Notamacropus eugenii: one gene and its partners. The protein of the gene in region 2 purifies or fractionates together with the protein of the main gene of each other region. This does not show direct contact. Links are inferred from orthologs where the notes say so. Each region holds a gene or a part of one and is shown on either strand. Other genes may lie near its edges. The genes, in order: PYM1, RBM8A and UPF3A.

Evidence for each region.
Region 1: the proteins of RBM8A (region 2) and PYM1 purify together in Homo sapiens (co-immunoprecipitation; 11 studies listed by BioGRID and IntAct, counting the BioPlex papers as one, with this or other methods). This does not show direct contact. The link is inferred for Notamacropus eugenii from reciprocal best matches to the Homo sapiens genes RBM8A and PYM1.
Region 3: the proteins of RBM8A (region 2) and UPF3A purify together in Homo sapiens (co-immunoprecipitation; 4 studies listed by BioGRID and IntAct, with this or other methods). This does not show direct contact. The link is inferred for Notamacropus eugenii from reciprocal best matches to the Homo sapiens genes RBM8A and UPF3A.

What each region holds. Positions count from the first base shown.
Region 1 is NC_092874.1:231,139,255-231,142,998, reverse strand, and holds the start of PYM1 (partner of Y14 and mago), read left to right. Parts: upstream 1-1,435; 5' UTR 1,436-1,549; coding exon 1,550-1,559; intron 1,560-1,959; exon of another isoform or gene 1,960-2,048; intron 2,049-2,371; coding exon 2,372-2,518; intron 2,519-2,634; exon of another isoform or gene 2,635-2,714; coding exon of another isoform or gene 2,715-2,748; intron 2,749-3,744. UniProt on the Homo sapiens protein: Key regulator of the exon junction complex (EJC), a multiprotein complex that associates immediately upstream of the exon-exon junction on mRNAs and serves as a positional landmark for the intron exon structure of genes and directs post-transcriptional processes in the cytoplasm such as mRNA export, nonsense-mediated mRNA decay (NMD) or translation.
Region 2 is NC_092873.1:303,232,157-303,235,900, forward strand, and holds the start of RBM8A (RNA-binding protein 8A), read right to left. Parts: upstream 2,408-3,744; 5' UTR 665-2,407; coding exon 598-664; intron 436-597; coding exon 376-435; intron 291-375; coding exon 213-290; intron 112-212; coding exon 1-111.
Region 3 is NC_092877.1:206,134,788-206,138,531, reverse strand, and holds the start of UPF3A (regulator of nonsense transcripts 3A), read left to right. Parts: upstream 1-1,158; 5' UTR 1,159-1,217; coding exon 1,218-1,544; intron 1,545-3,744. UniProt on the Homo sapiens protein: Involved in nonsense-mediated decay (NMD) of mRNAs containing premature stop codons by associating with the nuclear exon junction complex (EJC) and serving as link between the EJC core and NMD machinery.

The DNA of each region.
Region 1 (3,744 bases), on a different chromosome or scaffold from region 2:
TTTCTCCTCTTCCCTATGTCATTATAGATTTCCCAGCAAAGAATATTCATGAGGTTGCTGGTGTTGTATTGTGGGAAAAGCAGATTTTGAGTCAGAAGGCTGGGGTTTGAGACTAGCTATTTGACCATGGGCAAAGCATTTAAGCTCTAGGTGGAGCAGTAGAGAGAGTGCTGGGCCTGGAGTCAGGAATACCTGTGTCCAAGTTCAGCCTCAAATGAGGATGACAATTATAGTGCCTACCTCCAGGTTTTTGTGAGGATCAAATGAGATATTTGTAAAGGGCTTGGCATAGTGCCTGGCACATAGTAAACAGTTTATAAATGTTAGTTATTACTATTATTATTAGCTATGTGACCCTGGGCATATCACTTGCCTCAGTTTCCTCAACTGTAATTTGGGGATATTAACAGTACCTGCCTCATGAGGTAATATTTATAAAGCAGTTGACACATAGTAGGATCTACATAAATTTATATTCTTCTCCCTTCCCTTCCTTTCTCTAAAAGCCTCAAGAATCCCTCTGTAAAATGCCAATAACACTATGTGCTCTACTTATTTTACAGGGTTGTGGAAGTGACAGTGTTTTGAAAGCTTTAAGCAGCATAGAAACACGTCATTCCTGACCTCACTCTACGCATATCCCATTCGGACAGCTCCCTTTCTAGGAGCCTCAGAATGGAAATTACAGGGGATTTCAGTGTGGCGAAGTAGGGTGAGTGGCTCTCATTCCCTCAGTGGAATTTAACGCTTTCTGACACCCTCAATGAATTACCTTAGCGCATGCCCCCCTTCTTCAGTCTTTCTCCCTCATCCCACCTAGCCTCCACGGCCCAAGGGCAATGTGTGAGAAATGGGTATAATCAGTAGGCTCACTGCACCACGTCCCAGGTGCACATTTCCTCTTATCGGCCACATCACAAAATGGAGCGAGAAAAAGAAACCACAGCGAACAAAGGGAGGAAAAAACAACAGCTTCATTTCTACCCCCACCCCCACTTCTCCCTTCCTCCTCTGGTGGGGGCGAGAGCCACACCCCAGCCTAGGCTAGGGTCGGCAAGTCGCCCAACGGGCTAAGACAAGTGAGTTTCACTTCCTGCCAGCCCCAAAGTTAGGGCAGGATGTCTGGGGGTGGAAAGAGGTACAAGAGGAGGGGCCCTTGGCACCAGGTTATGCAGGCCCCGAGGGGAGCTGCTGTAGGTCTCCAGTTTCCCTTTTGCAAAGAAACTGAACTGAAAGGGTGATCCTAGCCTGAGGAGACCATGCCAAAGAGTCACTGAGTTCTACCAGTTTTTCCAGGTTCCCCCGCAGCTTCAAGCACAAAGGCTACTACGGATGTGGGTGTGTGGAAGGGGAGGACAGAGTGAAAACATTAGGAGGGAGAGGATTGGGGGAAGGAACGTACACATGTTAATAGCTGCAAATCAAATGCAAAACAGTATTCCCGCTTACTCGGCAGTCATCTTAGCTGGGCAGCCGCAGCTGGGTGGAAGAAGAGCGCTGCAGATTTGTTAGGTGGGGACCTTCCATAGCCGGATTTTTGAGCCGCGGAATGTTCATAGGTGGCATATTTTACTATTACTCAGTTTGAAAAAAAGGACTCCCAAGCGATTTAGTTCTATCCTGACTGCCTTCCGTCTCCCTCTCCCCCGCGCAGGGAGGACTCGGGCACTAGCCTTAGTCAAAGCAGAAGGACGGGGCAGAAACAATTTCCGTGGTAAAGGGCTACAGAAATGTCAGCAATCTGCAGGCAGTGGGGGGTGGGCTGGGGCGGGGGAAAAGGAAAGGAGAAAAGCGAAAACCTGGTGAGAGAAAGCGGCAGCCCAGGGCCTCCCCAGCCTCAGCGGGGGCAAGTTGAAACGGAATTTAGCTAGGGGAACGAGGTCGAGGGCGGGAAGATTTGCAGTTAGTAAAAGGGGAGGGGAGAAGGCCAGAAATGGGGAGTGCTGGAAGGGCTGCAGGGTCAAGCCCAACCCCTCCGATCACGCCCCTCCCTTCTTCCCCCGATCGCTTTCTTCTCGCGCCCTGGGGGTAGAGCCGTAGACCGAGAGGTGGGAGTCTTTAGCAGAGGAAGAAACTGAGGCGGGGAGGGGAGGGATGGGGGCGGGGAGGAGAGGCTTAGGCCGGAAGGGAGCGTAGAGGAGGTCAGCGAGCCCAGCCCCTCCGGTGAGACTAGTCCAAGGTCACCGGGGAAAAGAGAAGAGGGGTCAGGATTTAAACCGAGACCTCCGGCCTCAGTCGAGCCGGGGAGTCTCGTGCAGGCGCCCGGCGCGGGGATCCCGGAGCCGGAGGCCAGCCGCGAGGCTCTCGGCGGCCCGGCCCCCTCCTCCGCAAGAGAAACGGCCTCAGGCCTCCCGTTTCATTCATTCCACAGACGCAGATCGAGCGCCGATTCTCTGCGGGGCGCGCACGCCGGCGGCCTGGGCCTGCAGCGTCTCCCTTTCTCCATTTCGTCTCTGCGGCGCCACCCGGCCAGGGATGTCGTCCAGCCGCCAGCCAGTTCCCGAGGACGAGCTGAAAGGTACCGTCCCCTCTTAATAACCCCCTCCGTTTCCTCGGCCCTCACTTAGCCCCGGGCATGAAGTCCAAGGGCGCTCTGTCTCTTTAAGATGAAAATGGCAGCTCGCGACCAGGCCTAGACTCCACTTCCGGTGGAGAAGGGGGCGGGTCCTGGGGGGAGGGTGTCACTCACGCCGGAAGTGGTTCTCGTTTCCAAGATGGCGACTCCCTATGTAACTGACGAGACCGGCGGTGAGTGCGGGCGGTGCAGAGTCTCTTCTCCCCGGGCCTCTGAGGGTGGGGGTAGAGGTGGAGGGCGGACTTGGAAGGGACCTGCGCCCCGCCCATCCCGGGGCCCCTCCCCTGTTCCCGCCCCCCCGGACCGCCTACCCCATTCATTCGCTCCTTTGGGGCTGCACCTGCGCCCCCTTCCGGTCCTGTGGCGCCGGGGTCCCTCTGCTTCCGGTCACCTAAACTCTAGGCTAGGGTCTCTGCTGGCCAGGGCTAGTCCCCGGGCCTCCCTTGAGCCCCGGAAGTCTCCACTTGACCGCCGGACCCCCTTTGGTCCGCCAGCCATCGGAGCTCTGTCCATGTCCCTTCCAATTCCTGCCTCCCCCCTTTAGCTTCACCCACCTTAGGTGTGAAGGATTGGGAAGGACCTCCAACTTGTGGCCTTTGCTCTCATTTCCCGACCATGAGCTTTCTCTTTGGAGACCTAATCGCCAACGTGGGCTGCTTTCACATCTCTGCCTTCCCCGGGAAACTGTCAGCCTGGGCAGGGAAGGGATCGGTCAAGTCAAGTCAATAAGCACTTCCTAAGTTCCCACTGTGTGCCAGGCACTGTGCTAAGACCAGAACACAAGTGTCTCTGCACTCAGCCTGGTAATCAGACTACTAACGTCACCCTTCCCCGGCTGTCTGTCTCACTAAACTGTAGAAAAGAATTGTATGAAGGCTTGCTGGGGGCTAGGCAGCAGCCTTGGGCTGGGATGAGGTCCTGGGAGAAGACAGAGATGGAGAAAAGTGAGGTCTCATCCTTAGATGTTACTGGTACTGGTAACCCATTCTGCCCAAGGACCAGAGGGAGGAAACTTCTAGCCTGTTTATCAAAAGAAATATACAGAAAATATGTATAGAGTACATGTGGTGTATATGTGTACCCATGTGGAGCAGACATTGCATAACTCATAAAATCATTCATACTGGATACACTATCAAGTCATGTTATGTAACCTTAACTGAGCTCAT
Region 2 (3,744 bases):
GGTTCAGGTGGATATTTTTTATTTCTCCATACTCGGAAAATTTATCATGTATGTCCTCCTCGGTGGCTTCTTCGTGGACCCCAGTCACGAAAAGGATCCACCCCTCAACAGCTGGGGAGTCAGAGCACAGGCGGGGCGCGATGGTCAGGGGGAAGGATTCCACATGCCGGGGCTCCTCCCACTGCGTCCCCTCCCGGACTCCCGGCACTCACAGCGTTGCGGTCCGGGTTCGTCACCATCCTGCTCCACGCTGTCGTAGTCCTCCCGCATTCGGGCCCGGGACCCTTCCTCTGTAAGGTCCACGCCCACCAGGGGTCAGTAAATAAGGGCGGCCCACCCCGCGGCCCCCCTCACCCTCCTCTGTCCCAGCCTCACCTGAGCCGAAGCCGCGACCCTTGCGTTTCTTGGCCTTCTCCTTCAGTTTGTGAATGCTCTCTGAAGAGAGAGGAGAGGTGGGTCAGGGGGGCCCCGCCAGGGGAGTGGTGCCCGCGGCCCGGCCCGACCCCTGCGGCTCTGCCTGGGGCGGAAGACCCTCCTCCCGCCGTCTATCCATTCCGAGGCCCGGGCCCTCTAACTCTCCGCCCACCCGCTCCGCACCATCCCCATCCTCGTCCATGGCGAAGTCTTCGCCTCCGGCCTCATGAAGATCCAGCACGTCTGCCATCTTGCACGGTTCTCCGGTTCCTCGGAGCAGTTCTGCACCAAGGCACGGTGGGAGACGATGGCGGGCTTAAGAACCTCCCCACGCGGTGTTGTTGACTGCCTGGTTAGCCAATCAGACCCCTCGACTCCGAGGCTCTCGCTTTTCTTTGGCAGGGAGGCTGCCCGCTCGCGCAGGTCCAGTGGCCGCCGGGTCTGAAGAGTAGGAGAGGCGGAAACTTGAAGAGAGGGCTTCCTGGGAAGGAGGCCAGAAGAGCAGGTCACGTGATTGGGGGCGGGGAGAGGCCCGGGCTGCGCCTGCGCTTCGCTTGGACGCTCATTCCCGACTCTCCCCTGGTCCCCGCCCCCACCCAGGCGGGGCCTCGGGCGTCTAACCGTCGAGCTTTGCTCCCTTCCGTGGTTCTTCTTGAGTCTTCCCAGCGATTCTTTGCTCTCTCGCTTTCCTTTCTTTTCTCCTCCGAAGCAAGGGCGGGAGAGGGCGCCATCTTCATTTCGCAGCCCACTTTCGGTGCTCGGCTGGACGGCCCGCGCCAGCCTGCCTCGGTTTGCGTGGTTGGAAACTTCAGGGCAGCTTCTCCCCTCCCCCCTCCAAAAAAATAGCCAGAAGCCGGGTCGGAGTCACTTGGTTGCTGGAGAACTTCCTTAGCCTCCCCTGGTCTAGACGAGATGATAATCGCCTCCTGTAAGGCACTCGTTCTTAAACCAGTTACTTTTTAGGGAGTCTAGGGCTGAAGTCTCCCCCAAGCCCGGGACTCCATCCCCTTCCTCTCTGAACTCATGATCTCAGCTCCCTAACTCCTCCTGAGCATCTTTGTCAGCACCTTGCTGGGTCAGTCCAAAAACCCCTTCACAGGCCGGCCCCGTCGTAGTTGTGTGTGTCCTCCCTCCAACATGGAGAAAGGCAAATCTGCAGGCTGCCTCTGTTTGGAGGTGCCCAGCACCCTCATTTTGCAGGGAAGGAAAGGAAGCTGACTGAAATGGCTCCTTCCGTGATCCCTAGTGAGATCCTTACGGATTTCTGTTCTCCAAGTTGACCCTGCTTTAGCATCTGATACCGCCTCTTTTCTGGGATACTGCTGTTGGGGTACAGACTCTGGGAACTTCCTGGAATCTTCCCACTTATTCTGGCTTTTCACGCTCAAATCTGTGACCCATAACCTAACCAGGCCCTGCCAGGTCCGAGGCTTCCAGCTTGCCTCTGGCTGGTTCTCATCCTTGATTACCTCCCACCCCAGCCCTATGTTGTCCCAAGCCTCCAGTCGTTTCCCACCCTTGATTACATCATTAGTTACCCTGGTCCCATCAAGATTCTCTTTTCACGCCTCCTCCCAGACTGCTAGACCACCCCCAGATCCCTCCCATCATCTTTCTGTATATAAATTTAATCTCCTCTCCACTTACATGCTCAGTTTCAGTCCAGTTCTGATTCTGTCTACCTTAGATTCTACCTGACCCACTTGGCAATACAAGCAACACAAATGGTTGGGCTTCCTGAGAGTCGACCCAATATGGCAAATCTTTCATAAACTTTGGCTGAAAGAATGCTTGTCAAATGCATTCAGTCAGGACCCGGCTTGTCAGTATTTTGGGACCCCGAGTACCCCTAAACCCCAATGTTGTTAGTGTGTACAATGTTCTGTTTCTGTTCACTGCGCTTTTCATTTCATGTCAATCTTTCTAGGTTTTTCTGAAATCAGCCTGCTCTTCATTTCTTATATCACAACAGTATTTCATTACAAATACAATTTATTTAGCCATTCCTAAATTGATGGGAATCCCCTCAGTTTCCAATTCTTTGCCACCACAAAAAAGAGCTGCTATAAATATTTTTATACAAATAGCTCCTTCTCCTCCACCCTGCTTTTTAAAATTTCTGTGGGATAGAGACCTAGTCATGGTATTGCTGAGACAACAGGTATGTAGTTTTATAACCTTTTGGGCATAGTTGCAAATTGCTCTCCAGAATGCTTGGATCAGTTCACAACTCCACCAACAGTATATTAGTGTCCCAGGTTTTCTACATCCCCTCCAACATGTATCATTTTCCTTTTCTTTCATATTAACCAATCTGCTAAGTGTGAGTGGTACCTCAGTTGTTTTAATTTGCAGTTCTCTAATCAATAATGATTTAGGGTACTTTTTTCACATGACTACAGATAGCTTTGATTTCTTGGTCATAAAACTGCTATTCATATCCTTTGACTATCAATTGGGTTGCAACTTGCATTCTTAAAACTTTGGTTCAGTTCTCTATTTTGAGAAATGAGATCTTTATCAGAGACACTTGCTGTAAAAATTGTTTCCCAGCTTCCTGCTTTCCTTGGTTTGGGTAAACTTTTTAATATAATCAAATTTTCCATTTTCCATTTCCATTTTATAGTGCTTTCTTTTTGTTTATGCATAAATTCTTCCCTTCTCTATAGATCTGACAGGTAAACTATTCTTTAGTTTCCTAATGTTTTTAGGGTGTTGTATCAGTAAGCACCCCAACATACAGGGGGGTCTTCTATCACAGGTTCTTAGATCTGCATTCATAAAAGGAAAGCAACTTTCAAGGGGTAACAATCACTTTAATCAAGCACATGTATCGTTCCTTTTAACCAAGTACATCTATCATTCAGTTAGTTCAGGGAGTCAGCACCCTGAATTTCAAAGAAAATACAGAAAAATCAATAGATCAACAGACATAGCTTCCTCTGCCTGAATTCAATAGACAACTGGACCCCAACTGTCTGACCATAGTTTCCAGAGAGGGAAGCACTTGACACCTGGGTTCTCAAAGCCAGGGGACTCTTGGTGGTTTCCCAGAGTCCTCCTCTGGCACTCAAACTTTATTACAAAAACTAAACCCCAAAGTAAAACCTCAACTCAGAGTATTTATATCTTTTTTAGAGCCAGAGGGCATCACAACCCTTTAACCCAGTGCCTCAATAGAAAAAACAAAAGGTACTTAGGGCCATCCTACAAAACAACTCTCCTAATCAAGCTTCCTACAATGGGCAGGCCCATCAATGGGTGGGAAAGATTTTTTTAATAATTATTTTGTTTTCAGTGTTCTATAATCACTTCTATATATCTTAGATG
Region 3 (3,744 bases), on a different chromosome or scaffold from region 2:
CTGAGAGAACGTGAACTTGCCGTCGTGGGGACGGCCAGCGTGTGCTGCTCCCCGGGAGTCCCTCGTTACTTCCCACCTCGGACACGAGAGCCAAGGTCCGGCATCGCTTAGCGCCCCGCGGGGGACGGTCGCCTCCAAACGACCCACCCCAAGCCCGGAGCCGAGTGGGGACCACTCCAGCGGCCGCACGTTTGGAGAAGCCCTCCTCTTTAATTTGGGGCCAGGCGAACCCAGGTGCCGTGAGACTCGGCGGGGCGGTTCCGATTCTGTTCTGCAAGAAGGCTCGGAGCGCTTCCGCGGCCCCGGACCCTCCTTCGTCCGCGCGCCTCTTGTCCGGAGGGAGGTGCTGGCAGTGCAGAGATATCACTGCCGCAGACGCTGGAAAGCGTACTTGTAAAGATGACCAAAGCATTTATTAGCAGCCGCCTGTGTACAGGAAAAATAAACCGGTGGCCTTGATGTTTCTGGACGGCGCCCCCATGGTGGGCAGCGCCTGAGCGCCCCCTGGGGGGCTGCTGATGGCCATGGCCGTGGCTTTCCGGTCAGATGGGGGGGCTCGGGAGGGGGGGGCGGGATGCAGGCCTGAGGACCTTCCAGGGAGAACATGGGCTCGTTCTTAATACCCGGATCGCACACACCGAGGTTCCCATTCTGACAAGCCCGAGGCTTCTCTGCATTTTGATCTTTAGCCCCGCTCTCCCGGGGGCCTTGCCATTCCCTCCCCTACAGCCCCGAGCCAAGCCCAAGGACCCCGCACTCGGTGCGGGCGCAGCCCGAGCTCTGCGGGGGTCGCCTGGCCGGCCGCCCACGGCTCGGGAGACAGCAATGCGGATAGAGCGGGAACGTGCCTCCGGGTCCTGCGCGCAGGCGCACCAGCCCGCCCGGCCCCGCCCCGCCCGGCCGCACCCCAGCCCTTTTCATCTCCATGGACAGCGGCACCTCCGTGGTCTCGCGGTCCGCATCCCCTGAAACCGTCTGACCCCAGGCCTCTCTTTTCCGACGCGCTCCTCCTTCCCCCAACTGCCCTGACTCGTCCGTGTCCGCTCCTTCCCTCCATTACAAGGAAGGGGTGGACGGTCACCAAGAAGCACGGCTGGCGGGCGGGGCCGGAGGGGGGGGGGGGGGGTAGCGCGCGAGCGTAGGCGGAGATCTCGCGAGTCTTCCTGACACTCCCCGAACGGGCGGGAGAAAGAGCCTGAGGCTGCGGCGGGTGCGTGATGCGGTCCGAGAAGGAGGCAGCCAGCGGGGCCGGGGGCTCTGGCGTCGGCGGCGCCGGGCGGGGATCGGGCGGCAAGGAGAAGCCGCCATTGCCGCCGCCGCCGCCGCCGCCACCGCCACCCCTGCCACCGCCCCCGGCATCTTCCCGCGGAGGGACAGCGATGGAGATCCAGTTCCGCCGCGAGTCGCCTCGGCGCGAAGCGGAGACGCCTCCGACCGCCGTGTCGGCCTCGGGCTGCGGGGGTGGCGGAAGCAGCGGCGGAGGCGGCGGTGGCGGAGGAGGCGGCAGCAAGCCGCGGGAGGAGAAGAAAACGGTCCTGAGCAAGGTGGGGGGGCGCCTGGGGGGGAGGGGCGGCCGGGGCTCGCGGCCCGGGGTCGGCGGGGGAGGGTCTCGCGGCGGGAGGAAGGGACTGCGCGGAGGCGGCCGCCCCGGGAGGAAGGAGGAGGGAAGGAGGGACAGCGGACGAGCTTTCAGGACCGGGGAGAGCGCCCCGAGCCCGGGGCGCCGGCGGCCGTGGAGGAGGGGCGGAGGCGCAGCCCGGCGGGGCCGCCGTGGGAGGCGGCCGCGCGGGGGGCCGACCACCGGAGCCCCGGGCGGTCCTTTCCTCGTCTCCTCCCGAGCGTGACTTTGTTCCCTCCCTTAGGGCGAGGTGGAAGTCACCTCAGACATTTGGACTTGTAATTGTGTTTAAAATGAAAGTCGAACGTCGTTCCCCGGCGCCCCGCACGGTGGATATCAGTGGGCGGCGTGGCCGCTCCTCCCCACCCGCGCCCAGCCCGCAGCTTCACGAATGCGCGGGGCTCCGGGGACCGACAGACAAAGGGGAGAGACGCTCCGCCGGCCCCTAGGGGGCGGGCTGGCCCGGTCCGCCTGACGTCACCCTCCCCACGCCTCCTGCGGGAGAGTGGAGGCTGCCTGGGGGCAGCCCGGGGGCAGGGTCGGACTCGGAGAAGGCTGGCGGAGAGTTCGTGCTCCGCAAAGCGGTAAGTTCTGATCGACCCAAGAAGAGCTGCGAATGGCGGCATGACCTGAGAATGCGGCTTTAAAGTGACCGTGGAGAAGAAAACCGTCCCCGAAGAATGGTCCACTCATGCACCTGAGGATATTTTTAAGAGATGAATGTGCTACAGAGAACCAGAATAGTTACTTACAATGCAGGCTGGCTAGTTAAAAAAAAGAAGCCCAGTATTTCAGAGTTCCGAGGACCCAGGCTGGAAAGGGTTACGGGGAGGCGGCAGTCCAGTCCAGCCTGTACCGAAACAGGAGCCTCTTCCCCGACCTCCCGTAGAAGTCCTTCGCCAGGAGGAGCCTGAAGATCTCCACTGCCTCCCTAGGCAGTCCATCCTGGTTTTGAATGGTTAGGAAGCATCTGTTTCTCTCCGTCTTGGGTTGTTTCTAGTTCTGCCCTCTGGGCTCAAACGGAACAAGTCTAATCCCTCTTCCACAGAGTGACCCTTCAAACACTTGAACACCAGGTCTCATACATCTCCTAAGTAACCTCTTCTCCAGGCCAGGTGGCTCTGCTTCCTTCCACTGAACCTCCTATCTCATTCTTTCTCATCTCTTCTCCATCTTGATCACCACGCTGACCACTGTGTTCCATATTTACTCTTAACCAGGGCAGGCTACAGCGGAATGGCCTGCTTCCTGTTTGATCTCTTTTTGTCTTCATGCAGCCCAGAATCACACTGACTAGTCTGTGTATGTTCATCTTATTCCAAGGCTGTATGTGCCTAAATCTAGTTACCAACAAATACACTTTTAATTAGACTATCTTCTCTTACTCTGATCACCTAGTATTTTCCAATTTCATAATGTAATACAAATAAATGCATGTAGAGTGCAGAGAATGACAATTTTTTGTTGAAATAAGAAACAAAAAGTATTTTGGGGAAAGAAACACCTTGCAAAATAATCCTGAATTGATTCAAAGATTAGAAGCATCAAAGGAGCTTGGGCAGGTTACCTAACTCTCTGGGCCAAAGTTTCTTTGTCATTAAAGTAAAATTAGATGACCTTAGAGGTCACATATAATTCTAAGTCTATGGTACTGTGATCCTGTAAAGGTCTTGTTGGGTTGAATGGAAAGTGGATAACATTTTATATCTTCTTTCCAAACAAATGGAAAACCTAAATGACTAAGAGGACTGTTGAGAATTCAGTACTTCATATTTTTTGATTCAGTGATTTTTGTGTAAATGTTGGTAGTTATGTCCAGTCTGTAGCTATTATGCATAAAAAAGATACCTGTGTCTATTACAGAGGCAGTGTGGAATGTCGGATAGGGCCCTGAGCCTGAAGTCTGAAAGATTGTATTTCAAATCCTACCTCTGGTACCTGGGGGTTAGGTGCCCTTGGGCAAGTCTTTTAAACTCTTCTATTTCATAGTCTTAGGCACAGATCCTTCAGGTATTTATGTACTCTGTCCTGGCACAGAGCCTTCTTTAACAGTCTATCTCTTCTGTAGTAATGAAAAGGTTATAGATAGAATTCATTACTTAAGGAGACGTCTGAACCTCACTGAA